Xenopus tropicalis: one gene and its partners. The main gene of each other region encodes a partner of the protein of the gene in region 5 in a complex. Links are inferred from orthologs where the notes say so. Each region holds a gene or a part of one and is shown on either strand. Other genes may lie near its edges. The genes, in order: snrpg, snrpf, cwc27, snrnp200, sf3b5, sf3a2 and phf5a.

Region 1 (4,300 bases), on a different chromosome or scaffold from region 5:
ATTAAGTGGCCTATTAAACAATTTCAACATTAAAATATATGTATATAGGGATGCACCAAATTCACTATTTTCAGATTTGGCCGAACCCTGGATCCTTTGTTAAAGATTTGACCGAATTCCAAACCAAATTTGTACATACAAATTAAGGCAAGTAAGGGTTAAAGAGAACCCCACGCAGAGTGTGACAAAAAGACAGGTGTTTTTAAAAATTCGGATTTGGTTCGGCCAGGACCTTGGATTAGACTTAATCCTGCACCGAATCCCGGATTCAGTGCATGCCCTTGGTGTGTTTGTGTGCTACAATAGCAGGAGGCCCTTAATATATAAAATGGCAATTTTCTATGTAGGATTACCCAATAGCACGTGCTACTAAAAGAAGTATATTTTCATGCAATTTATTTAGAAGATGCAGGGTTTTACATCTGAGCTGTTTATGCAATATATTTTTATAGAGACCTACATTGTCTGGGGTATAGATTTCCTTTGCTAAGAGGCTTGGGCCACACTGTGGCTTTCAAACATAAGTTTTACTCATTTGAACTTTTTGCCCCAGTTTCTTTTTCCCCCAGTTTCTTTTTGCCCCAGTTTCTTTTTCCCCCAGTTTCTTTTTCCCCCAGTTTCTTTTTGCCCCAGTTTCTTTTTGCCCCAGTTTCTTTTTGCCCTACCCATTTCTGATGAAGTTTGCAGCAACAGTACTTGCGGTTTAATGGTAAGGAACAGAAACCTGAACAGAAAGATAAGTCCCTGTGCTAAGCAAATGTAGCAGGAAAACTAGTATGTTATATTAAAGGACAAGTAAAACCTGGTATATAAGGCATCCCACAGCCATTAGTCCTGTACATTAAAAATGACCAATTCCTATTGGACCCCCAGGCATTTGTGCCCCTTCCATTCAAGTGCATGGGAGTGCTACCCCAGGGGGACTTTGAATGGCAGCAGAGTATAATAAAAGAAGTAATGGAAGATGGGCTGTAACGCCCTATGACATAAGACTAATTACACCAGACTATGGTACCTGCATTTTCCTAATGTTGTCCCTTTCCAAGCTCTTCACCATAGTGTCTATCGCATTTTGAAGCCGGTTCTGCTGTTCCTCTGCCATGTCTGACAAGCGTGTGCTCCAAGGGCAACGCACCTCTCTTCCGCCCTTACACATACCCTTCCGGTTACGGCTTGCCCTTACTCTAACTCTACGGCATCTACGTTGTTTTGCGGCAGACATCTAAGCTGACCGACTAGCTTCCATAGCCCCAAGTTTTTGTTAAATTCTTCTATAACCAATCAGGGAAAACGTATATATGTAATCAAATTTGCAATATTTCTTATATACTTTAATATTTGATACACAATGTTATATTTAGCCCAACTAAAGCCGGCTAACGCGTCTCCTTTGTATTCTTTGGTGGTCGTCATAGCGACCGTGGGGGTGGGCGGGGAAGCGCATACACGTAAGACGTGCTTACGTCACATTAAGGCGACTGCGTTACTTGGCGGCAGCGACCGGGGCTTTGTACACGAGGAACGAAAATGAGCAAAGCGCACCCGCCCGAGCTGAAGAAGTAAGGAACGGCCCGGGGGGGGGCAGTGAGGGGCAGAGCGGAGGGGGCAAGTGAGGGGCAGAGCGGAGGGGGCAAGTGAGGGGCAGAGCGGAGGGGGCAAGTGAGGGGCAGAGCGGAGGGGGCAGTGAGGGGCAGAGCGGAGGGCAAGTGAGGGGCAGAGCGGAGGGGCGGCTTAGGCTGTAGCCGGGGAACATACACCCAAACCTGCAGCCTCCATTGCGCTGTTTCATGTTGAATGGCCCGTTTTGGAGCATGGAGGCTGCAACCACATCATTCACACAGAAAGAAATGGGGATCTTTTCGATTCCCACATATCTTCCAATTATATTTTGTGGTCAAACTGATTGATTGCCCATATATTGCAATATACTCCAAGCTGGCCAACTACATCAGTCGCAGTCATAGGATTCATTAAGGATTCTAGTATTTCATAATGTGCACATGGATCTCTGGGAAGAGTGAAGTAGCTCTTATGCCTGATACTAACCCTATAAGGGAACTGCATTGGCTTCTCTTGGGTCCCTAGTCTAGTGATCTGAGCACAGGTGATTAGGTCTTGTTGAGTTATTATTATAATATAATGTATTTAAATGTTGTGTACTTTTTACTTTTAGGTTCATGGACAAGAAACTGTCTTGTAAGTATTGAAAAATTTTCCATCTACTTGTAAAAAGAAAAAAAAATAAAGGAAAACTATACCCCCCAAACAATGTAGGTCTCTATAAAAATGTTTCATAAACAAGCTCATATGTAAAACTAAATTAATCTAAATAAACCATTTTCTTAAAAATATTATTTTTTTAGTAGTATGTGCTATCGGGTGGTACTAAATAGGAAATTGCCATTTTATGAATTAAGGGCCACCCCCTGGGATCATAGGATTCACAGTGCACACAAACAAGCCAAGACACACATACATGTTAGGCCCCATCAGCCAATGAATGGGCAGAGTTCTGCCTTTTGCTCCCACACTACTCCCTGTTACAGTCAGAGCTGCATTATTTCCTGTCAGCTGATCTCTGAGGGAGCACACAGCCCATCACTAAATGGTGGCTCAAGGGAAAGGATGTAAAAGGGCAATATTTACTAATATATATTCCAGTTTGACAATATTCTTTAATAGGCCACTTAACAAAATATAAACTATCTGTTGGTTAAGTATTCGTTCTGGGGGTATAGTTTTCTTTTAAAAAATAAAAATATATATGATGAGGTCTGTGCTCGGACCTTATTCAGGTGCTTGGCCAAATAACAGTGTTATTTAGAATAAGAAGCAGCAGAGAGATGGTGCAATGAAGGATTTATTCAGGATACAGGACTGCTGTTCCTCACTCTATATAAATATATGCAGTTATAAGGGAACTGTACCAGGTGACTCCCCAAACCAGTAAACCACCAAAACCTTGAAGCATCTGATCAAATTTCCTTTCTTTTCTTTCTTTCAGTGAAGTTAAATGGTGGGAGACATGTCCAGGGGATTCTGCGTGGCTTTGATCCCTTCATGAACCTTGTAATAGATGAGTGCACAGAGATATCAGGGGGTGGCCACCAAAACACCATTGGAATGGTGGTAAGTGTTAGACTGAGCTGCAACATATATTGTATGGTCCCTTACTGTGTGTGTAATTTAGGGTGGCCGTTCATGGTCAGATTTTCCAATTTTTAAACTAACATTTGAGGACAACGCAACGCAAAATATAATTTTTTGCCTAATAAAAGAAAACAGAATTCTCAGCTTTGCAATATACATTTATTACAAATTTGTAATGGTTTTTGAGTTATTTGTATATATAATTGCTATTAGAAGCAGTGTTTGTCTGTCCTTTTCTATTCTCTGCCCTGGTGGCTCTGGCATTTGAAACAATGTAACACAAGGCAGCCAACTGACAGACCTGACTTGGGGAAGGAGACTGACTTTTGCAACATTGTTTAAAAAGTAACCACCAGGAGTTCGGCAAATGCTGCTTTCAATAGCAATTACATTTACAAATGGCATTTAATCATACAATGTTATCCACAGAGAAGTAGCACGTTAAAGATGTCGTCATTTTGTTGCCAAAAGGTAAAGTAATATTGTGCATCTACAATGCTATATCAGCTTGTGGCGGAAGCAGTATAAACAGGAAGTGATGTATTTTTCATCAATTTTTATCGATATTGGTATGCTATTTGCTATTACAACAAGTGAACGAATGAGTTCTGCTTGTTTGTAATGTGGCTGGTTGCCTTGGCTTGCTGGTATTGCAGCAAGGTATTCTTTTGCCTGTATTTATATTTACCAACAGCATGCACATGACTTTTCATAGTGTTTATGTGGTTAAAATGTAGGGTTGGCAACAAACATTTGGGTCTTGTCATATGCGTTCGTTGACTTCTGCAGGTACTGCCAATATATGCACAGAAAGCGACTGTTCAACGACAACTTTCACACCAACTCTTATCGTTGCCCAACTGATATTTTTAAGAATGTTGGGCCAATTAGTAAATTCTTACATCTAGAATTGTTTGTACACTACCAGCTATACAGTTTGTCCTGAAATCAGTCGTGAGACTACAAAATCTGAGCATGTATGGCTGCATTTAGTGGAATATGGTCAGATTATTAGCAGCTAATATTGCAAAGTGTATTGGCTTCTGTGAAGTTCAGATTAAATAATGACTAATCGGCTGAGCAGCTTTAGTACTTTAAAGATGGCCAGTTTAAAGAGAGGGATCTAGCCCATGTTTTCTGGGTAGGATGA
Region 2 (4,091 bases), on a different chromosome or scaffold from region 5:
AAAAGGAATACAATAGTTAAACAGTTTAGCAGAGAAAAGGTAGCAGTCACATTGTTTTTCTAGAGAAGGGATACAATTCTTGCTACTAGGTAGTTATCAAGAAAAAAAAGGGCAATCTACTCACGCCTCCTTGGAGGTTGTGCTTTAAAGAGAATATTTAAAAGGACAATTTGTTGCCTTTTTAAATAATTGTTAAATTACACAGTTTAGATAAGAAACTATTTAAAAAGTACATTTTTTTTTTTTACAGAATATACTTTACATTTTTCACTGGTTCACATGTATGTATATATATTTTTATTTATAAAGCGCTACTTATGTACACAGCGCTGTACAGTAGAATACATTAATACAAATAGGGGGTTAATAAGATAATAGATAAATACAAAGTATAACAATAAATACAAATACATACAAGATACAGTTACAGTTGCAATAAGTTAAGAGTCAAAGACACAAGAGGATGGAGGTCCCTGCCCCGTAGAGCTTACAATCTATATGGCACATGCAGTTGCCTTAACATGCTGACAAGAGTTTGCTTTCTATTTCAGAAAAGCAGACATATATGCTGTAATGTGACCACCTACAAAGCATCCCCAGTGCACAATTCTTACCTTATCAAAACTTCTCCAAGATGTCCAGACAATGCACCATCAATATATTCTTCTGTGTTTGCAAGCTGCAATAATATATATAAATGAATTAACCAACAGAAAAAGCTTCTCACACATCACAGCAACCTTGGATAATGGACACTCATTACTTTCTCAACCATCATTACTATAAAAAAAAAAAACTCTGCAATACAGAAATATTAATATTAATTGTTACTTATGTTTTAAAAGCAATTAAGCTGGCTAATTGGTGCTAATGCTACTAGGGTTAGCAATGGTACTATAAAGTGTCACAACACTCTGGCAAGCACTCCAGCTAATTGCATGCAACCTTAAGCAGCACTTAAAGGAACAGTAACACCAAAAAATAAAAGAGCTTTAAAGTAATGAAAATATAATGCACTGTTGCCCTGCACTGGTAAAATTGGTGTGTTTGCTACAGTAACACTACTATAATTTATATAATAAGCTGCTGTGTAGCCACGGGGGCAGCCATTCAAGCTGGAAAAAAGGAGAAAAGGCACAGGTTACATAGCAGATAACAGATAAGTTCTGTAGAGTACAATAGTGTTTTATCTGTTATCTGCTATGTGCCTGTGCCTTTTCTCCTTTGAATGGCTGCCCCCATGGCTACACAGCAGCTTATTTATATAAATTATAGAAGACTTTCTGAAGTAAACACACAACTTTTACCAGTGCAGGGCAGCAGCACATTATATTTTAGTTAGTTTTTTACACTTTAATTTTTTGGTGTTACTGTTCCTTTAATGTATTTCATTGCCAGCAATGGGCTGCTGATGCCCAAAACCATTTTACTTGTGCAATTTCCTAGTGTTAACTAGAGACAGAGGCAATCCAATCCAAATGTCTCATACACTGCTCTAAAATGGCAACAGGAAAGCCCAGATACAATTCTGGCACAATATAAAGGGAATATAATATAAATTATATATACACATGCATACAATATATATTTTTTTTTATTAAATAATCTAATAAATTAACTTATAACAGCAAGTAACCAACTATAATATCTGACATGTTCAGTGCTATTACTTACCTGCATGTTCATGTATCCATCCACTGATACCAAGTAGCCTTTGTACTCCATCCCCCATTTCAGCTTTACCATAACTGGCTTACCAGTGAGGCCATTAAGGAAGGGTTTTGGATTCAGTGGTAAACTCTGAAAATATAATCATTTATAATATAAATATTCAATAGGTCTTGTGATTAAAACGTCAACTCATGCAATAACCTGAAGTAATCATATGCATACATTTTCAATACTATATCTCTGCCTTTATTTGTCCTCAGTTTTCTCATGCTCCCTTCCAAGAAACCAAAAGGGGACACCTGCCTAATAATGATACTTGGGGCACGGCCAGCAACAACAACCACAAATCCATATCTAATAGAAATCATCCTTTCTTTGGTAGGAGGCTATATATTATTACACTACCACAGTAAAATGAAAAAGGGGCATTTATTTATTCTTCCTGATAGTTGAAAGTGCAGTTCAATAGCTGGAGGGCCACAAGGCTGCACATCACTGCTGGCTGAGGGCAGTCACAGTACAAACAGTATAACATGCCATTTGTAGCATTACCACTTGAGATATGATAGGCAGAGGAACACATGGCCTTTAGGAAATTATCAACTCCCATGTGCCACCGCTTTAAGAACAGACGCAAACATCCCATGTTCGCGGCTCATCCCCAGTAGAGATAGTACCATCCCACGCTGCATGGCTACTTATATTTCAGCGCAGCCTACACCGCGCCTTACATACAGGCTCTTTCCGTGCAACGTGCCCTTAGCGAGTACACACGCTGCAAAGATAACACGTTACGCCTTTCCACACAGGCCTAACAATAAAGCAACCAAACAAACCCGAACCAACTGCATAACCCATTCTGTAAATCCGGCGGGATAAGCTGCTACTCGGGATAATGAACAGCCCCACACACCATGCTGCCTGCACTCCCCCCCATCCCTACACACTGACACCCCCTGTCCCGCCAGGCCTGGAACTCGCACACCTCCAGTACTTACCATGGTGCGACCGCAGCCTCACAACAAACTGCAGATCAATAAAAAAAATTCCTCCCCGGAGCGTCCCGTAGAACACACCGCTGGAGCAAAGCGGGAAATGGCTGCCAAGGCCCGGAAGCGACAGGAGAAAAGACCATAGAGAGCCGACACGCGTTGAATGGCTAACTGCTCCCTCTAGTGGCTGGAGTTGGATTTCCAACATGACTCCAACAATCGCCAGTGGAGGCGGGATTATTTCACAATGGTGTTGTATTGTACAAGGCTCACCCTCTGTGCTGACTCCGGGCCGCCTCAGTACTACTAGTACTACAGGGCCTTCCCCCAGGAACCGCAATTAGGCATTTCTAATAAATGCAAGTTGCTATACTGCGCTGACTGCAATTACAACAAATACAAACATTGCGTCCCGTCTATTTGTATTTCGTACCTTGTTTTGATTATTTGTTAACGCTATGTAATTATATTCACTATTATGCACAACAGTCCAGATTTAGAAGCCTTGATTTTCCGAGGACTTGGTGGCACTTGGAGGGTAAAATTAGAATGGGTAAAGGAATACTGTCATGAGAAAAGGTTTTTTTTCAAAATGCATCGGTTAATAGAACTTCAACAGGTTTTTTTTTATATTTAATTTTAAAAGTTCACATGGGGCTAGCCATATTCTTCATATCCCAGGGTGCTACAGCCATGTGACTGATAAACTTCAGTCACACTTTACTGCTGCGCTGCAAGTTGGAGTGATATCACCCAGGAGTACCTGATTCCACAGGTAGAAAGAAAACCATGATAGTTTTCTCTGTGCTCTTTAGCACATTTGTCTCCCAATGTAATGCAAGCTGTCCCCCTTTATACCAGAATCTGTGCGCTTTTTACAAAGAAAGAAAAAGTGAGAGAGGGGTTGCATTACACTGTGACCCTAAGTGGGTTGCATACCCCCCAACTGTCCCGCTTTTCGCAGGACAGTCCCGGTTTTTACAGCGCATCCCGCTGTCCCGGATTGTTCAATGAATGTCCCGCATTACGGAAATGCAGAACATTCATTAAACTATCCAGGCCAGCGGGATGCGCTGACTGCAGCCAGCACTCCGGCTCCGTCTCGTCCTGTGGCTCCTGCTTCTTATTCGGCTCCTCGTACGGCGGCGACAGGCCCTTTTATAAGGTTGCGCCCATGCGTACGTGTGATGTCACACGTACGCACGGGGCGCAACCTTATAAAAGGTCCTGTCGCCGCCGTAGAAGGAGCCGCATAAGGAGCAGGAGCCACAAGAAGCAGCGTCAATGGGGGGCACTGTGTATGGGGGGCATTTTCTATTGGAGGTACTCTCTATGGGGGCAATTGGGGGCTACTGTGTATGGGGGGTGTTTTCTATTGGGGGTACTCTCTATGGGAGCAATTGGGGGTACTCTCTATGGGGGCAATTT
Region 3 (4,034 bases), on a different chromosome or scaffold from region 5:
TTTGCAACGTTACCTTCTAAACAAAGCTGTACAAAGTTTCGGCATGCTCTTGGTGCCTCTTTTGACCACAATTCAATGTCAATCTCTCCAGCAGTTGTTTTCAGCAAAACCTGGAAAAGTGGTAGTAAAAATTATTATTTGGGCAGGATTTCTTCCTCTTCTTGCTGCCTTTGTCTTTCACGTGTGGCATATAGTATGACACAAGTTCACACAGGACATCCTACCCTACCCGTGAGCATTATTTAAATATAAAAAAGTTGGGGAGTAACACAAGCACGAAAAAGTTTTCTAGGGGTTACAATGAGGACTGTGACTGGTTATTAGGTAGCCCAACGTGGATGGGCAGACTACAGGAGGCTCAGTTTGGCAGTACACATGGTCTTTATGCCCCCAAAATTTGCATCCAAGCCAGAGGCTACTGGGAGCAACTTCCAAGGGGTTGGGGAGCAACATGTTCCTTGCAAGCCACTGGTTGGGGCTCACTGCTGTAGACCTTCTTTACCTCTTACATGGAACTAGATATATAATTATCACAGCGTAGTTCAGGAGATACTTATGGGTACATCATATAGAAAGAAATGGGATGACATTGAGCAACAATATGGAGGTGAGCAAGTTGATGGCAGTGGATGTGATCTACTTGGACTTTGCTAAAGCATTTAGCAGTACTGCACAGAAAGTTAATGGTAAAATTTGGCCTGGAACATAGTGCTGGGCGGTATGACCAAAAATTTATATCACGGTATTTTTTTTATTATATCGGTATCACGGTATTTGACGGTATTTTTTTTTCCCCATGCATGATTAGGTGACCACCCCAAACACCCCCCCCCCCCCAATTTTTCTTACTATTTCCGGGTTGCACGCGCGACGTCAGCGCGCACAACCCGGAAATAGTAAGAAAAATTGCCAGGAGGCGCCCACACCGGTATGCCGGTAAGTTAAAAATTTTTATCATTTTTTTTTTAAAAAAATGGTGTTCGGTATATACCGGTATACCGCCCAGCACTACTGGAACATAATATTTTAAATTGGATAAATAAATGATTGAAGGATAGATTACAGTGTAGAGAGAGGTGGTAAATAGAACATTTTCTAATTGGGCCAGTGTTGTTAGTGGAGTACCGCAGGGGTCAGTCCTTGGTCCTTTGCTTTTTAACTTGTTTATTAATGACCTGGAGGTGGACATTGAAAGTACTGTTTCTATTTTTGCTGATGATACTAAATTGTGCAAAACTATAAGTTCCATGCAGGATGCTGCCGCTTTGCAGAGCTGACAAAGCTGGAAAACTGGGCAGCAAATAAGGTTTAATGTTGAAAACTGCAAAGTTATGCACTTGGGTAGAAATAATATAATAATGTAATAATATTACACACTAAATAGTAGTGTGTTGTGGGGATCCTTAATAAAGAAGTATCTGGTTTTTTTTGTAGATAACAAGTTGTCTAATTCTAGGCAGTGTCATTCTGTGGCTACAATAAAGTGCTTAAAAAAAGGGCATTGACTCAAGGGATGAAAACATAATTTTGCCCCTTTATAGGTCCCTGGTAAGGCCTCACCCTGAGTATGCAGTGCAGTTTTGGGCTCCAGTCCTTAAGAAGGATATTAATGAGCTGGAGAAAGTGCAGAGACTGCAACTAAACTGGTAAAGGGGATGGAAGGGTTAAACTATGGGGTTAGACTGTCAGGGTTGGGGTTGTTTTCTCTGGAAAAGAGGCGCTTGCGAGGGGACATGATTACTCTGTACAAGTACATTAGAGGGGAATATAGGCAGATGGGGGGGTTCTTTTTTTCCCATAAAAACAACCACCACACCAGAGGCCCCCCCTTAGGAACGGAGCTTCCATTTGAAGCAGCGTAGGGGGTTCCTCACGCCCCGGGGAGGGCAGTGAGGTTGGGGAATGCCCTTCCTAGTGATGTGGTAATGGCAGACTCTGTTAATGCCTATAAGAGGGGCCTGGATGAGTTCTTGAACAAGCAGAATATCCAAGGCTATTGTGATACTAATATCTACAGTTAGTATTGATGTTGGTATATATAGTTTAGGTATGTTAGTTTGGTATATAGCCTATATATGTGGCTGGGGTTCGCCTGGAGCCCATTCATGTAACTAAAGGACAGCCTGCACTGGTGCATTTGGGCACCTTCCTAGCAGGACATTAGTTAGTCAGCTCAGAAGCTCTGTCCTAGGGCTGAATATGCAGGAGGAGTCTCCATAAAGCGCAGCACAGTCCTCTCTGCTCCCCATGTGGATTATACCAATGTGCTGACAGCTGGGGGGGGCAGCTACATGACGCGAAACTAAAACATTTACCCTGGGAAATGTATTTTCACAGAAAAACATTGAGTAAATTTACTTATAGACTTTACATTTCCTTTATCAGGTACCGCGCTGGGAGAGATATTTCAGCAACAGCAGATGGGAATCCCATGCTAAATATTATTCCTTTATCCTTCTGCCCTACAAGCCCCTTACTTTCTCCCGCTGCTCACCTTGCCGTTTGTCGGCGGCTCCTGAATGTAAATATTGCTCATTGTTACTCAGCTTCTTGCAAACAAACTCCAGCGTGCAACCTGACAGGACGGGACCGCCCACATACAGCCTCAGAGGGGTGCCAGAGAAGATTCTGATTTAAAAATGACACAGCAAAGAGCGTTAACAGGACTCGTCCCATCCACAGTTATATAGTAGCTCGTATTTTGTTACCCGAATGCTCCAAGATCACAGCGTCTACAGCAGAGGATGATTACACCAGAGTTGCATTGCTTTAGTTCCCCCCTTTCTCTTAGTGTGGCCGAAAGTACACTTCCCGGAAACCAGAGCTTTCATTTGCGTTCCACTGCGCACCGCTTATTCTGTTCCGCTGAGAAACAAGTCCATGCTGTGATTGAGTTCCGAGGAAGTGAATTGGTTAGGAGGCGCGCAGTAACTGTTTGAGGGGTGCGATCTTCTGTGTACGGACGCTGAGAATTGTGACTTATGGCTGTCCCAGGTTAGTCTGATTTATAAATCACGTTTTTTACCTCACCTGATCCATCTGATTTTGATAGAGAGGACTTTTATAATACAGGCTCGAGTCTGAACTCGACATGTGTAAAGTCTCTGCAAAGTGCATTATGTTGTACTGTACACTGTACGCACACAACCCAACTCCCCAACCCAATTAGTTTTATCCCCCGCTATTTTATGCCCGAGTCCCCAAAATACGTAGGACATCATTTTTTTCTGCTTTTGAAGGGGTGGTTCACCTTCAGTTAAACTTTAAGTATGTTATAGAATAGCCTGTTTTGAGCAACTTTTCAACTAGTCTTCATTTTATATTTTCGGTTGTTTCTGCCTTTGTCTTCAGGCTCTTAAGGTCCCCATACACGGGCCGATAGAAGCTGCCGATATTGGTCCCTTGGACCGACTCGGCAGCTTATCGGCCCGTGCAGGGGCAGAAACGATCGGACTGGCCGACCGATATCTGGCCTGAAATTGGCCAGATATCGGTCGGCCAGGTTAGAAAATCCTGTCAGACCGGGGACCGCATCGGCTCGTTGATGTGGTCCCCGAACCGACTGCCCCATTGCTGCTTGCAGAATTCGATCGTTTGGCCCCAGGGCCAAACGATCGAATTCACCGAAATTCCTCCCCGATATCGCCACCCGTAGGTGGTGATATCGGGTGAAGATCCGCTCGCTTGGCGACATCGCCAAGCGAGCGGATCTGCCCGTGTATGGCCAGCTTTAGGCTAAGAACCCACCGAGCGAGTTACTTGCCCACAATATCGCATGCGAGTAGCTGCTCCAAAAAGGACTACTCACGCAGAGTTGCCTGCAGGAGGAAACTTTGTGCAACTTCGGAACACGAAACGATACAAAGGGCTTTCCACCAGCGACTTCTATTGTTACCTGTGGAAAGCCTTTTCGAAGCAGTTACTCACATGTGATAGATCTCTCCTAACTCACTCAGTGGGTTTGTACCCTTAGGGCTCTAGTACATGGGGAGATTAGTCGCCCGCGACAAATCTCCCGTGTTGCGGGCGACTAA
Region 4 (3,500 bases), on a different chromosome or scaffold from region 5:
AACGTTTGATGGCCTTTTTCTCTGTAATGCCTACATAGGTCTGTTCCAGTGGCACCGGACGAAAACTGAAAAGATGTTTAAATAAAGATAAATATTGTAAAATTGTTTCTCAAACAATTTAGACTTGTCATGTGTCTCTTTTTTCAAGCTCATCTACTATGTTTAATAGTGACCATTCCTTGTTTCCTATTATATGCAACTGTATGACTGTAATGGCCGCACCACTAACAGCCAAACGCACACACAAACACTGGGATGCATAATTCATGAACTAGTAAACATTAATGATTAGAAATGCAGTTTGTTCTTAATTCTATGGTTGAAGCAGATACCTGTTGTCAAAATAAAAAAGCCCCTTGGCAGGATCCACACGAAGAAATGTGGCTACATCCTCATAATTAGGCAAAGTGGCACTGAGACCAATAAGCCGGACATCCTCCTGTGTCATCTCAATATTACGAATCGCTCGAGCGACCAAAGACTCCAACACCGGACCTCTATCATCGTGCAGCAAGTGTACTTCATCCTTGAAGAAAAGTCTCAAGTTAGATATAAGTTACTTTCCACTAGTCATTTCCAGGACAGTCCACTAACTTAATAGGTTGCCTAAAACTTTACACACTGAAACAAGGCACAAAAGATTAAGATGGCAAGCTTTGCTAGTCCCTTGACCTCACCAGAATGATCAGACGGACAAGCTGAGTGTATGTTCTCTCTCCTCCTTTACGGGTGATGATATCCCATTTTTCTGGGGTACAAACTATGATCTGTGTGGCGTTAATTTCTTCTTTACATAGCTGGTGATCTCCTGTCAACTCTGCCACGGTAATGCCATATGTTGACAAACGCTGCAAAGGAAAATGCAGACAATAAGGCCCAACATGCCCTGTTAGAATGCTTCTTGTGATAAGCAAAAGCTACACTAGGAGTTGGTATTGATGCATATGAGGTAAGTAACACCATGTTAGGTACATGTTCCCACTTCATAAAGCACCAATATTATGCATTGAAATATGGCTCAGTTGGGATGTAAGAATTGAAGTTACCTTGCTGAAGCTGCCCACCATTTCCTGGACCAGGGATCTCATGGGAGCAATGTAGATTATTTTGAAGTTGTCCACATTGATGGTGCCATCCACATTTATGTGCTTTCCAATCTCCCGGAGCATGCACATGAGAGCTACATTTGTTTTACCAGCTCCCTAGAAAAACAAAAGGAGAAAAATAAATTCACAGTTCCAATTTCTTTTTTTCTTCGTCATTATAATAAACAAGGAAAATGTGTTAATTTCCGATTAATAAAGAAATGCCTAATGCTTAATTTTCACACTAATGTAATGGGGGAAAGGTAGGAGGGAGCCCAGACAACTCATAGTCATTTTTCACCAGTAGATATCGGAAAGGGGCTTGATTTGGGGGAAAAAAAGAAAGTCTATCACTGCAAGAATTTAAATTGTATAAAACGTTTACTTCTGGGCATCAGTCTGAAACTGATCATCCTTTAAGAATTGCTGCAGTTTCACCTTGTGCATAGTAGAGTGAAAAAACATTCATTACAATGGTTGTTCGGCTTCTGAAAACTTTTTTCAGTTTAGTTGTTTTCAGGAAGTTACTAAAATAAAATACTTTTTTTAAACTGTTTTCTATATTTTAGTTTTGACCTTTTTTCTAATTGAATATTAAAGTTTTATTTTACATCTTTTCACATTTCCCAGCTGCAGCTCTGAAAAGGGGGAGGGGATCACCAACTGTTCTAATTTGAAACATTTCTTATCTTTGGCCCTATGTTGCTCTGCAGCAGCTGCTGTAGCTACATTTTTGCTACATTAGTTGATACATTTCTTAGCACCATCTATGGAATGTTATTACCTACTGTAACAGTTCAAAGTCTGCGTCTGGATAACTGTGATGACTAAAACACCAGAGAGAACAACCTTAAAATTGAAACTTCAGTTTAAGAAAGAAAAATGGTCAAAAATGAAAAAAACTGAAAGCAACACCTGAACTGAAATAAGTGTTTGAAAGGTGAACTACAAAAGGCTCTATTAGTATATTTGCACATTATGCAAAGTGTACAAATTGCATTATAAGGAAAAAAGTCCTTACGGTGGGAGCACAGAGCAACAGGTTCTCATCCGTTTCCAATGCAGCTTTAAACAATTTGCTCTGGATTCTATTCAGAGTCTTGAAGCCTTCAAAGCCAGACTGAGCATATTTAGGTAGCTTTTCAACTGGGACCAGTTGCTGAACAGGTAAAAGGAAAGAAAAATTAAAAAGTGAGGCAATCCAAGTTCACAAGGAAAATTAGTCCAACAATATCAAGAACTCCACTTACCTCATCAGAAGCAAAAGGTTTGGGTTTAAGGGCAGGCACATGCACCTCTTCATACCCTTTTCGCTGACGTCTAAAGGAGCCATCAGGCAGTTGGCATCGTTTGTTTGCCATGAAATGACTACCCTGGGCAAAAACCAAATCCTCCAAGTCCAATACTTGACGAGGAGCGAAAGCCTAGATGGAAATAAAAAGACAAAACCAAAATGACCCTTGGATTATCACAAAAAAACAAATGGCTTTTATCATATTAGCTTAATACAGCTTCTATTTTGCTACTGGCTTACATATGTAATTAACCTGCAGGATAAAATTTCAAATGCTATTAATCTAGGTACCTTTTTAAAGAAATTGGTTACATTTTAAATGACATTATCCTGCTTCACTTGTTCCTTCTTTACCATTGCCTTGGCACTGCACAAAGTCTTAATTTGGAACAGTATTCCATGCCTACCTCTCCTTGCTCTGTTTCCATGTTCTCCAAATCCATGTCTACGTTTAACTGCCTAACCTTGTCTCTGTGCCCACGTGCCTCCTGAAAATAAAATAATATATATAAATGCCTATAAATGAAAACACAGCAAAAGAATCTCCTCTCTAAGAACATCATCTCTTACCCGAATCAGGTCCTCCTTTTCAGTCTCCTGTAATTGGTATAGATATTTAGAGAGTTCAGGATCGGACTCCATTTTGCCCATAATCCTTTCTTTCTCTGCTTCACTCTGAGCACTGGCCAAGAGTGTGCAATACATAACTGCAAAAGAATATAAGAGTGGTCAAAAACCTTAAGTTAGGGGATATTTACAGTGTGTATGACGACATTAACAAGACCAATACACTAAGGGGCACATTTACAAAAACTCTAAAATTTGTCTTTTTTTAAAAAAATTTTCAAACTCAACTAAACTCATTTCCTCAAATGAAGAATCTTCAATGAAAGGGAAGGGACCTCTGCCCTTGACTTTTACATCAACTTAGCAAGTTTAACCTTGCGAATTGTCAGATATGGATTTTTAGCCGTTTAGACAAATAGTAAATCTCTGAAAAGTCGCAGCATTTTTTTCCTGTGACTTTTTGTACTTAAAATCCGATGGTTAGTAAATGGGCCCCCTAAAAGAATTCTTGCAGAATAAACCAACACAAATGTAGAAAAAAAACTCACTCATCA
Region 5 (2,514 bases):
CTTTGCAATTGATTTTCATATTTTTTTTTTTTTTAAATTACATGCTTTTCTCTTCTGCCTCTTTCCGTCTTTAAAATGGGGTCACTAACACTGCCAGACAAAAACCATTGATCTGTGTGGCAATGGTTGGTTTTTTTTCCCCTGTCTATGCAGGCTTTCTCCTATTCATATTCCAGTTCAAACCACTGCCTAGGGTAAATAATAGCAACCAGATAGATGTAAGAATATGAAAACTGAAAGCAACTCAACAAAAAGCTATATAAAAAAAAACAATTATGAAGCCTAATTGCAACTGACCCTAGGGTTGCTGGCTACTAAAAGCACCCTGACTACGTTTACCTTTTCCAGTTTTTTTTTTTTTTTTGGGTGGGGGGGGGGATGGGCAGCTAGATTCTCTTCAAGAACACCAAACATAGCACCCTGACAATAACATTTTACATACTTATTAATCTAATAAGTGAACCACAGTGAACAATTAAAAAACTAACAAGGGTATGTTGTACAAGGATTCAACAAGAGTTGATTGTTTTATTACAAGTGATAAGCAGTTGAAAGAAAAGCCTAGATTAGTCGTACAAGGATTTCGAAGAGACTTCAGGCAAATGCACAAACGTCCTCAAAGTACTTTATCACGGACTCCTGGAATTCAGAAACTCCATTTAGAATTAGCACAGTCCTGCTTTATGATACACGCCTGTTGATTAGGCGGGAATCTCTTGCTTAAGTCCCGGAAACTTTAAGACGAACGGCGATAAGTTTGATCGACTCCAAGAACTCCATAACAGGCAGCCTCAGAGAAGAAACCATCGCCACGCTTAAGAGTCGTCGGGCTTATCAGCTGGGGGCCCACACGGCTGCAGCATCTTCTCCATCAGGTTAAAACGTACCCGTGCTTTACTTTCGTTCTCAGCCACGGCAAAGTAATTGAGCAGATCAAAGTGGCCCATGTAGGAGCAGTAAGAGTCTCTGTGCTGGTTCACCAGCCACTCCCACTTAGTAGTATCCGCATGGCCCGTGCCGATATACTTGGACTGCAGATGCTCCAGTTGGCTGTGAATAGTATATCGGTCTGTCATGGCGATGGCAAGCGCTAACAGCAAGCTCACTGTACACGACTTGGTGTTATGATATGCAGCGGTAGCGCCTTTGGCTTCCGGAGGACAAAAGAAGTCAGCGTGTTACAGCAGCCGGAAGTTACGTTGCTTCCGGGAGTGACCAATATATCGACGCCGACTAAAATAAATAAAGTTTCGTAATTTTGTAGTGTTTTGCTCATTTTCGCTTCAGCGATTGGCCCGCCTATTTCAAGCGAAATCGAAACTCCCTGCATGCTCAGTTGTGGGACACAGGGAGAGAACAGGCGGAAAGCTGTATGGAAAAATATAAAGTGGTTGCAGTTGGGTCAATTCTATAGGAATAAACCATTTTTTGAATAGTAACCTCCGCAACATGTTAACACATGAAACAATACCCAGCGGCATATAGATTACTCGCCTTCCAACCTTTACCTTTAAAGTGATAATATCCGTGATTTTAGCACACAGTCTTGCGATTTATTAAAGTTATATAAAGGCAAGGGTTCAATGTCCCCTCTAATTTCTTCTCAGTTATGTACACAAAAAATATTTTGTGCGCACAGTTTTTAATTTTTTGCATTCAGCATGTGTTTGTAAATGCATACATTAAAGTGATGTTAGAGCCCTAAGGGAGCAACTAAGACACTACCCATTTTAGACATGTAAACTTTGGCAGTATAAGGGCATTTCTGGCACATAATAACTTGGAGAGGCTTTTCACAGGGTTAAACACCGAAGGGTTAAATTGACCTATCAGTATATTCCTCTTGTAACAAGCAAAGATCTATTAAAGAAAAATTATTTTTGCTTGAAAGAAAAAGTTAGAACTGAAGTAGGTAATAAATGTGCTTTAAAGTAATTCAAGCTTGTTGAATCATTTTAGGTCTGTTACACATGGGGGAAATTTGTGCGTTTGATCAAAGTAAGTTGTGCCTGCGTAAGGCAGCATTCTTCATTGCATGAACTTTGTAGTGCACATGAGCTGTTTGCAGATGTAAATGTCACTGATGATGTCAGAAGGAAAATGGCTGCCAGGTAAAAGACACTATTTGCTTTAGGGATATGTAATGGTGCTGACAAACACAGGGGATATATGCAGTACAAATGGAGTTGTTTGGGTGCCCAACTTATATATATATGGTAGGAAAATGTATGGTTTACATGTCCTTTAAATTGCACAAGTGGAAAGTAGGCAAGCAATATTGTTAACAAACTAAATAAAGTAATAAAATAAAAAAAAGAAAAAGGAAAGGAAAAGGAGAAAAAAAATTACCTTAAAATCTGAGGAAAATAGCTCAACAGTAAAGAGTTCTGCTAAAATTTGCAGAAATTAAAGTTGCGCCTTTTCTGAGATTTACTGTTTCAAAATGACTAAAAATACAAATCTAAGAATTTCCAGTTAAACTTGCCAAGATCATGTAGAAGTCAATGGCAGATG
Region 6 (3,996 bases), on a different chromosome or scaffold from region 5:
GCCCAACCTCACTAAATCTCTTGGGCTGCATGGAAGCAAATCCCACAAACAATGTTTCAATATCTAGTGGCAAGACATCTCAGAAGAGTAGAGGATATTTAAGCAGTAAAGAGTGGACCTCATATTAATACCCTTGGATTGAGATGGCAGGAGTTTAAAACCTTCCTGCCTGTATGAAATCTACCACTTTGGGGTCATGGTACTTGCAGTGTTTTGAATGCTGCTGCTAGTAGCAGTAAGCAAAACTCCTCTATTCAAATCCTTTAAAGGAGACACATTGGATAAATGGGAAAAACCCTAATTTTGTAGGCAACTATGAATAATATATGGTACTGGTTTCACTTTGGGCTAAAAATGAATCCTATCTAAAAATGGTCCTTTTATTGGACCTCCCTATAGATCCTATCCATTCTCTGTCCGTGTTTCAAATGAAGGGTGGGCGTGTCCATAATGGTCCCTGCTAGAAGCACAGCAGGAGGGGGATAGCCAATCACAGCCTTGCACTCACACAAGCAAAGACAGGCTTCAGTTCCCAATCAGATCAGCCTAACTGCTGATTAGTTCCTATCCTACAATGCAGTGTACTGAGAGCCGCCAGCTCCCCTGCACATAAAGAGAATTCAGCCAGCAGGAAGTGGAGCAGATGGGCGGGACTAGTGGGGTTGTGGTGGAACACAACTTTTTTTAAGCACAATCCTTCTATATCTAGAGGAGTATAATTCACTGGTATATTCTTATTTTATATATATGATATCTCTCCTTTAACATTGAGTTAAATGGAATGTAGCACAGGATGCTTAGCGTCTTGTACTTATGCTAAAAAATGTTTGCATGCCCATTTTTGACCACTGCTACAATTAAGGCTGATGCCAGACGTGGCGTAGGGCTGATATTTTCGGCAAGCGGAAAAACGCTTGGCGAAAATACAAACGCGAGACTTTGCATTCTCTCACGTTTTCATGCGTATATCGGCTACATGTGCCTGCACCCGAGCGTATTCCATTCATTCGGGTGCAGGCACAAGTAGCAGGCGTAGGGCTGTATTTTCGCCACGCCATTTTCCGCTTGCCGAAAATATCAGCCCTACGCTACGTCTGACATCAGCCTTAAGGTTATGAAAACATCATAGCCCTTGCTTTGAAACATTTGCTTCAGTGGGTAACTTAAGTTTGAATTTCTCGTCAGGTGTTTGATCTTGCTTGTATCCTCGACAATCCCCAACCATGGATTTCCAACACAGAGCCGGAGGAAAGACCGGCAGCGGAGGGGTGGCTTCTGCATCTGAAAGTAACAGAGACAGAAGGGAGCGACTCAGACAACTTGCTTTGGAAACTATTGACATTAATAAGGTACTATAAATATTTAAGAGGGACCTAGGGTTGCATTAATAACAATTATTTAATTTAAAATATATATATATTTTTTTTATAGGATCCATACTTTATGAAAAACCACCTTGGCTCTTACGAATGCAAGCTTTGCCTCACCCTACATAATAATGAGGTAAGTTGAAGGAGAAAGATTGCAAGCACTCATTTTGACTTTAAAAATAGTTTTTATAAAAAAATGTGTTAGTACCACACTTTGGCCAAAATATATAACCTCACTGGTCATGTCAAGGCCCGTCATTGTATGTGAGTTGTACACTGTCTATTAGTATTCTAAGTCTGTAGTGCATTTAAAATCAAGTCCCCTGTGATGGCCATGACAAGTAAAGTTCCATGTAAAAATGGCTCATTTGATTAGTATTATAGCATATACAGGTCCTTTTCAAAAAATTAGCATATTGTGATAAAGTTCATTATTTTCTGTAATGTACTGATAAACATTAGACTTTCATATATTTTAGATTCATTACACACAACTGAAGTAGTTCAAGCCTTTTCTTGTTTTAATATTGATGATTGTGGCATACAGCTCATGAAAACCCAAAATTCCTATCTCAAAAAATTAGCATATTTCATCCGCCCAATAAAAGAAAAGTGTTTTTAATACAAAAAAAGTCAACCTTCAAATAATTATGTTCAGTTATGCACTCAATACTTGGTCGGGAATCCTTTTGCAGAAATGACTGCTTCAATGCGGCGTGGCATGGAGGCAATCAGCCTGTGGCACTGCTCAGGTGTTATGGAGGCCCAGGATGCTTCAATAGCGGCCTTAAGCTCATCCAGAATGTTGGGTCTTGTGTCTCTCAACTTTCTCTTCACAATATCCCACAGATTCTCTATGGGGTTCAGGTCAGGAGAGTTGGCAGGCCAATTGAGCACAGTAATACCATGGGCAGTAAACCATTTACCAGTGGTTTTGGCACTGTGAGCAGGTGCCAGGTCGTGCTGAAAAATGAAATCTTCATCTCCATAAAGCTTTTCAGCAGATGGAAGCATGAAGTGCTCCAAAATCTCCTGATAGCTAGCTGCATTGACCCTGCCCTTGATAAAACACAGTGGACCAACACCAGCAGCTGACATGGCACCCCAGACCATCACTGACTGTGGGTACTTGACACTGGACTTCAGGCATTTTGGCATTTCCCTCTCCCCAGTCTTCCTCCAGACTCTGGCTCCTTGATTTCCGAATGACATACTTTGGACCACTGAGCAACAGTCCAGTGCTGCTTCTCTGTAGCCCAGGTCAGGCGCTTCTGCCGCTGTTTCTGGTTCAAAAGTGGCTTGACCTGGGGAATGCGGCACCTGTAGCCCATTTCCTGCACGCGCCTGTACACGGTGGCTCTGGATGTTTCTACTCCAGACTCAGTCCACTGCTTCCGCAGGTCCCCCAAGGTCAGGAATCGGTCCTTCTCCACAATCTTCCTCAGGGCCCAGTCACCTCTTCTCATTGTGCAGCGTTTTCTGCCACACTTTTTCCTTCCCACAGACTTCCCACTGAGGTGCCTTGATACAGCACTCTGGGAACAGCCTATTCGTTCAGAAATTTCTTTCTGTGTCTTACCCTCTTGCTTGAGGGTGTCAATGATGGCCTTCTGGGCAGCAGTCAGGTCGGCAGTCTTACCCATGATTGCGGTTTTGAGTAATGAACCAGGCTGGGAGTTTCTAAAAGCCTCAGGAATCTTTTGCAGGTTTTTAGAGTTAATTTGTTGATTCAGATGATTAAGTTAATAGCTCGTTTAGAGAACCTTTTCATGATATGCTAATTTTTTGAGATAGGAATTTTGGGTTTTCATGAGCTGTATGCCACAATCATCAATATTAAAACAAGAAAAGGCTTGAACTACTTCAGTTGTGTGTAATGAATCTAAAATATATGAAAGTCTAATGTTTATCAGTACATTACAGAAAATAATGAACTTTATCACAATATGCTAATTTTTTGAAAAGGACCTGTAGATGCTGAGTTGTTTCATTAATACCTGTCATTGCCCCAGCCCTTCCAAACATCAGTTAATATGAGGACGCACTCATAATCATCCACCGTGTAGATAATGTGCAAATAAAAAGTAGTTTATTTACAAAAACAGCATGCAAATAGCCTTGTGCATTTCATGCCTAAGTGGGCACATAAACAAGGGCCATGATGGAAATGGTTGGTATTAATGTAAGTGTTTGTGAGAAGGATCTGTGCCTTTTGAATTGAAAATATATTGGCAATGCAAAGACTTTGAGCTAATAACTCAAACTAAGTAGTAATACATCTAGTAAATGTTTATGAGTAAAGTTGGGGATATTAAAATTGCAAATGTATAAATCACTTTGACATTATGCAGCTACTGGGAATTTCCAAAATAGCTGGGGCTAAAAATGCAAAGCAGTGGTATGTTGTGTTGCAAAAGTTCAATAGAATGAGCTGGCAGGTGCGTTTAGACACTAATGGGATTATGTAATAAAAAGCACTGAGTTTGCCCAGGTGCTGTGACCTATAGCAACCAATTAGCAGGTTGCATTTACTGGTCACCTGTTTAAAAGAAAAAATCTTATTGGTTTAAAAGGCATAAAGGTCATTTTCTTATCGCATAATTTTATTTTTTTTATTGTGACATGC
Region 7 (2,992 bases), on a different chromosome or scaffold from region 5:
AGTTGGAGCTGAATAGCCTTGTCTTTTTGAGTTTAATTGATTTGTAACATTTTTCAGTCTTACCATGTATAGTTATAGTATTACAAGTCTTAAAGGGTAAGGAATTAATTAGGGAGTCCCTAAGGAATATAATCCGTTACCTTGGATTTTGGGCTTGCTCTCCTCTTTACTGAAAGGTGCACTAGCATAGTGGTGTATTTCATTAGCACAGCACAGCCATCTTCCAAATGATCCCTTGGCATGTACTATAGGCTTGCATAGGAAATTGTGTGCAGTAGAGTAAAATCAGGGATTTATCTTTCCTGCATGTGTGCGTAATCAGCTGCAAGGGATTCCTGGGACTTTACACAAGATGGCAACAGAGAATGGAATGGAAACTTGGACCAGTCCATTTTTCAGCAAACGAGTGGATTTTTTTAATTTACCATCACCCAGTTAGTCACCTTAGAGAGAATAACACTCTCATTGCCCTAATAAACCGACACTGCTTGCCATGTCCTTTTATCTCTGTTACAGGAGCAAAAAAAAAAATGTGCATATCTGGAGAGTACCCAAGCCTGTTAAGAAATTAACAATTTAATTATTTTTTTTAATCTGCAGGTGATGGGAAGTGTGTGATTTGTGACTCGTATGTACGCCCGTGCACTCTTGTGCGTATTTGTGACGAATGTAACTACGGCTCTTACCAAGGGCGATGTGTGATCTGCGGAGGGCCTGGGGTTTCAGATGCTTATTACTGCAAAGAATGCACCATCCAGGAGAAAGATGTAAGTAAAGACAAAATAAAAAAAAATATATAGCAAAAAATAGCTGCATTCGCTTATTAGAGAGTGTGCCTGGGTGCACACCGCCGAAGAGTAAATATAGACTTTCATATAAAGCAGGGCACTCACAGGATTTAAAAGTATGGTGAAAAAGAAATAAAGTTTATTTGTTATTTCAACGTTTCGGTCTTCCTTGATAAAGGTCTCAAGGAAGACCGGAATGTTGGAATAACAAACTTTATTTCTATAATTTAGAGTTGAAGCTGCCATTTTTAGTTACTGTCAGAAATGGTTAATGTTTCCTGTGCTATTAAATTACATGTTTTGTGTGGTCTTTACTGATTAAATTAGTTTAAGTGAGGGATCTAGAACCCAGAATCCCATTATCCAAAAGATGTTAGTAAGGGAAGAGTTGCTTGCTTTATTTTTTTCTCTAATAATTAGACCGTATCTTGCACTTGGTGATAATGAAGCTGCATATAATCGGTAATGATGGCAGCACATGTTGGATATTCATAATTGTTGTATTTATTTTGGTAGCCTTAGGGCACAATGCTCCAGTTTACAGAAGCACCCTATATTCGGGAAAACCCCAGGACCGTGCATTCTGTATACACAAAATCTTTTCCCAAGGCAAGCTGTATCACTTCCCATTTTCTTATGTGACATGCAGGAATAATCTGGTTTCCTAATTTTCCATCTAAATGTACTGCATTTTTCCTAAACTATTAAAGGATATTTTTTTCCATGTTCTTCCACAGTTAGTTACATAGTCATCACCTAAAAATTCCCTTTTATGCCTTTTTTTTTTTTCATAAAAGCTTAAAAATCTTCTGTTACTTTTTTGTTACATTACAAGATTTTTACATTGCCTTAAATAGCACATGGGCAATTATGTGCAAATTCACAACACCAAAGGAGCCAAAACCATCCCACTTCTGTAATGACAGTAGCCTGGAATTGTGGTCTGCAAGAACATAAGTGCCAGCATCTTTTAAAAAGAAAATTTTTTTTTTCAGAAATACAGGAATTTTTTTTCTTTTTTGGAAATATACACAATATTAAGTATTGTTTTCAGGTAAAACACATCCATAGCCATTATAAAGGCATTTAAATATCACAGCTGCCAATCATGTATTGCCTGCCCTGCCTCTATGCCTAGGCATAGAGGCGGGGCAGGCAGTTACTTTTATTTTCCATTCAGAACTCGCTTTCCCCGTTTCTCCTCACCATCTAATTGTGTAGCCAGTACGTGGGTATGGCCCCCCCATTCTGGCTAATATACAAGATTTTGGGGTGATACAAAGCTAGCTTTAATAAGTGTCTACAAAATGGAACCTGCCTGTTTGCTGTGATTATGTAATTCCAAGACTGAAGGAAACAAGATGTATATTATTTATATATTGTAAGTGAAGTTTATTTTGCTTGACAAACACAATAGAAAATTATTTGGAATTATTTCTTAGGGTGACAGGCCCCCTTTAATTACTTGTGTTTATAGTTTTGTTATTAACGTTTTCATTACTTTTCTACATCTATTTTGCAGAGAGATGGTTGTCCCAAAATTGTAAATTTAGGCAGCTCCAAAACAGATCTCTTTTACGAAAGAAAGAAGTATGGATTCAAGAAGAGGTGATCCTGCCTTTGGATTTTCTGTGTGATCTTATCTTTTTGTGAAAAACTGATTTTGTAATGTTGAAGAAATCATTAAAATGTCTTTTACAACAATGCCCCTTCTCATTTAACATCTTCTTTTATCCTATAATGTAAAGAAACCATTAAATACATTTAGAACAGGTTGCAAGGTATTTAGGCTTACTCTTTATAATGTGCAACAAAAGTAGTGGTATACTGTTAACCTGTGGCGAATAACTGTGGCACCAAGGGAAAAGGATATCATACCTCCCAAGTGTCCCATGGAGTCACGATCTTTAACTGGCTGCCTGCAGTCCTGGATCACCTATTAAATGTCCAGCACTGGATTTTTTTTAATAAAAATATATATTTTTTTTTCTAGTAGTAACTGATCTCATACCTGTATTTGCCACTACCATTTTAAAGGGGTGGTTCACCTTCAAGTTAACTTTTAGTATGTTAGAATGGCCAATTTTAAGCAACTTTTCAATTGGTCTTCATTATTATTTATAGTTTTATCATTATTTGCCGCCTTCTTTTGACTCTTTCTAGCTTTCAGATTGGGGATCACTGACCTATGCTCTGCTAGCCTA

What was found.
Region 1: sf3b5 (region 5) and snrpg share a complex: the UniProt entries of both Homo sapiens proteins name them as parts of the minor spliceosome. The link is inferred for Xenopus tropicalis from reciprocal best matches to the Homo sapiens genes SF3B5 and SNRPG.
Region 2: sf3b5 (region 5) and snrpf share a complex: the UniProt entries of both Homo sapiens proteins name them as parts of the minor spliceosome. The link is inferred for Xenopus tropicalis from reciprocal best matches to the Homo sapiens genes SF3B5 and SNRPF.
Region 3: sf3b5 (region 5) and cwc27 share a complex: the UniProt entries of both Homo sapiens proteins name them as parts of the minor spliceosome. The link is inferred for Xenopus tropicalis from reciprocal best matches to the Homo sapiens genes SF3B5 and CWC27.
Region 4: sf3b5 (region 5) and snrnp200 share a complex: the UniProt entries of both Homo sapiens proteins name them as parts of the minor spliceosome. The link is inferred for Xenopus tropicalis from reciprocal best matches to the Homo sapiens genes SF3B5 and SNRNP200.
Region 6: sf3b5 (region 5) and sf3a2 share a complex: the UniProt entries of both Homo sapiens proteins name them as parts of the 17S U2 SnRNP complex. The link is inferred for Xenopus tropicalis from reciprocal best matches to the Homo sapiens genes SF3B5 and SF3A2.
Region 7: the proteins of sf3b5 (region 5) and phf5a are in contact, whole or in part, in a cryo-EM structure (PDB 7EVN), measured with the Homo sapiens proteins. The link is inferred for Xenopus tropicalis from reciprocal best matches to the Homo sapiens genes SF3B5 and PHF5A. Residues at the interface, in NP_112577.1 of Homo sapiens: Arg4, Tyr5, Thr6, Ile7, Gln10, Leu14; in NP_116147.1 of Homo sapiens: Pro6, Asp7, Leu8, Ile9, Phe10, Cys11, Arg12, Ile88, Leu91.

Annotation. Positions count from the first base shown.
Region 1 is NC_030679.2:122,085,895-122,090,194, reverse strand, and holds the start of snrpg (small nuclear ribonucleoprotein G), read left to right. Parts: upstream 1-1,500; 5' UTR 1,501-1,527; coding exon 1,528-1,559; intron 1,560-2,173; coding exon 2,174-2,196; intron 2,197-3,004; coding exon 3,005-3,129; intron 3,130-4,300. Other genes in the region: protein FAM136A, read right to left, coding at 1,016-1,102. UniProt on the Homo sapiens protein: Plays a role in pre-mRNA splicing as a core component of the spliceosomal U1, U2, U4 and U5 small nuclear ribonucleoproteins (snRNPs), the building blocks of the spliceosome.
Region 2 is NC_030679.2:57,034,658-57,038,748, reverse strand, and holds the start of snrpf (small nuclear ribonucleoprotein F), read right to left. Parts: upstream 2,801-4,091; 5' UTR 2,673-2,800; coding exon 2,670-2,672; intron 1,801-2,669; coding exon 1,675-1,800; intron 680-1,674; coding exon 615-679; intron 1-614. UniProt on the Homo sapiens protein: Plays a role in pre-mRNA splicing as a core component of the spliceosomal U1, U2, U4 and U5 small nuclear ribonucleoproteins (snRNPs), the building blocks of the spliceosome.
Region 3 is NC_030677.2:188,226,393-188,230,426, forward strand, and holds the start of cwc27 (spliceosome-associated protein CWC27 homolog), read right to left. Parts: upstream 2,801-4,034; 5' UTR 2,709-2,800; intron 2,629-2,708; 5' UTR 2,537-2,628; coding exon 2,495-2,536; intron 111-2,494; coding exon 14-110; intron 1-13. Other genes in the region: protein SREK1IP1, read left to right, coding at 2,982-2,994. UniProt on the Homo sapiens protein: As part of the spliceosome, plays a role in pre-mRNA splicing. Probable inactive PPIase with no peptidyl-prolyl cis-trans isomerase activity. As a component of the minor spliceosome, involved in the splicing of U12-type introns in pre-mRNAs.
Region 4 is NC_030679.2:125,093,387-125,096,886, forward strand, and holds part of snrnp200 (U5 small nuclear ribonucleoprotein 200 kDa helicase), read right to left. Parts: coding exon 3,495-3,500; intron 3,087-3,494; coding exon 2,950-3,086; intron 2,868-2,949; coding exon 2,787-2,867; intron 2,510-2,786; coding exon 2,336-2,509; intron 2,245-2,335; coding exon 2,107-2,244; intron 1,203-2,106; coding exon 1,047-1,202; intron 849-1,046; coding exon 678-848; intron 527-677; coding exon 333-526; intron 66-332; coding exon 1-65. UniProt on the Homo sapiens protein: Catalyzes the ATP-dependent unwinding of U4/U6 RNA duplices, an essential step in the assembly of a catalytically active spliceosome. Plays a role in pre-mRNA splicing as a core component of precatalytic, catalytic and postcatalytic spliceosomal complexes.
Region 5 is NC_030681.2:58,017,282-58,019,795, reverse strand, and holds sf3b5 (splicing factor 3B subunit 5), read right to left. Parts: upstream 1,079-2,514; 5' UTR 1,077-1,078; coding exon 816-1,076; 3' UTR 501-815; downstream 1-500. UniProt on the Homo sapiens protein: Component of the 17S U2 SnRNP complex of the spliceosome, a large ribonucleoprotein complex that removes introns from transcribed pre-mRNAs.
Region 6 is NC_030677.2:102,627,584-102,631,579, reverse strand, and holds the start of sf3a2 (splicing factor 3A subunit 2), read left to right. Parts: upstream 1-1,196; 5' UTR 1,197-1,223; coding exon 1,224-1,349; intron 1,350-1,431; coding exon 1,432-1,503; intron 1,504-3,996. UniProt on the Homo sapiens protein: Component of the 17S U2 SnRNP complex of the spliceosome, a large ribonucleoprotein complex that removes introns from transcribed pre-mRNAs.
Region 7 is NC_030680.2:120,355,630-120,358,621, forward strand, and holds the end of phf5a (PHD finger-like domain-containing protein 5A), read left to right. Parts: intron 1-600; coding exon 601-767; intron 768-2,310; coding exon 2,311-2,400; 3' UTR 2,401-2,492; downstream 2,493-2,992.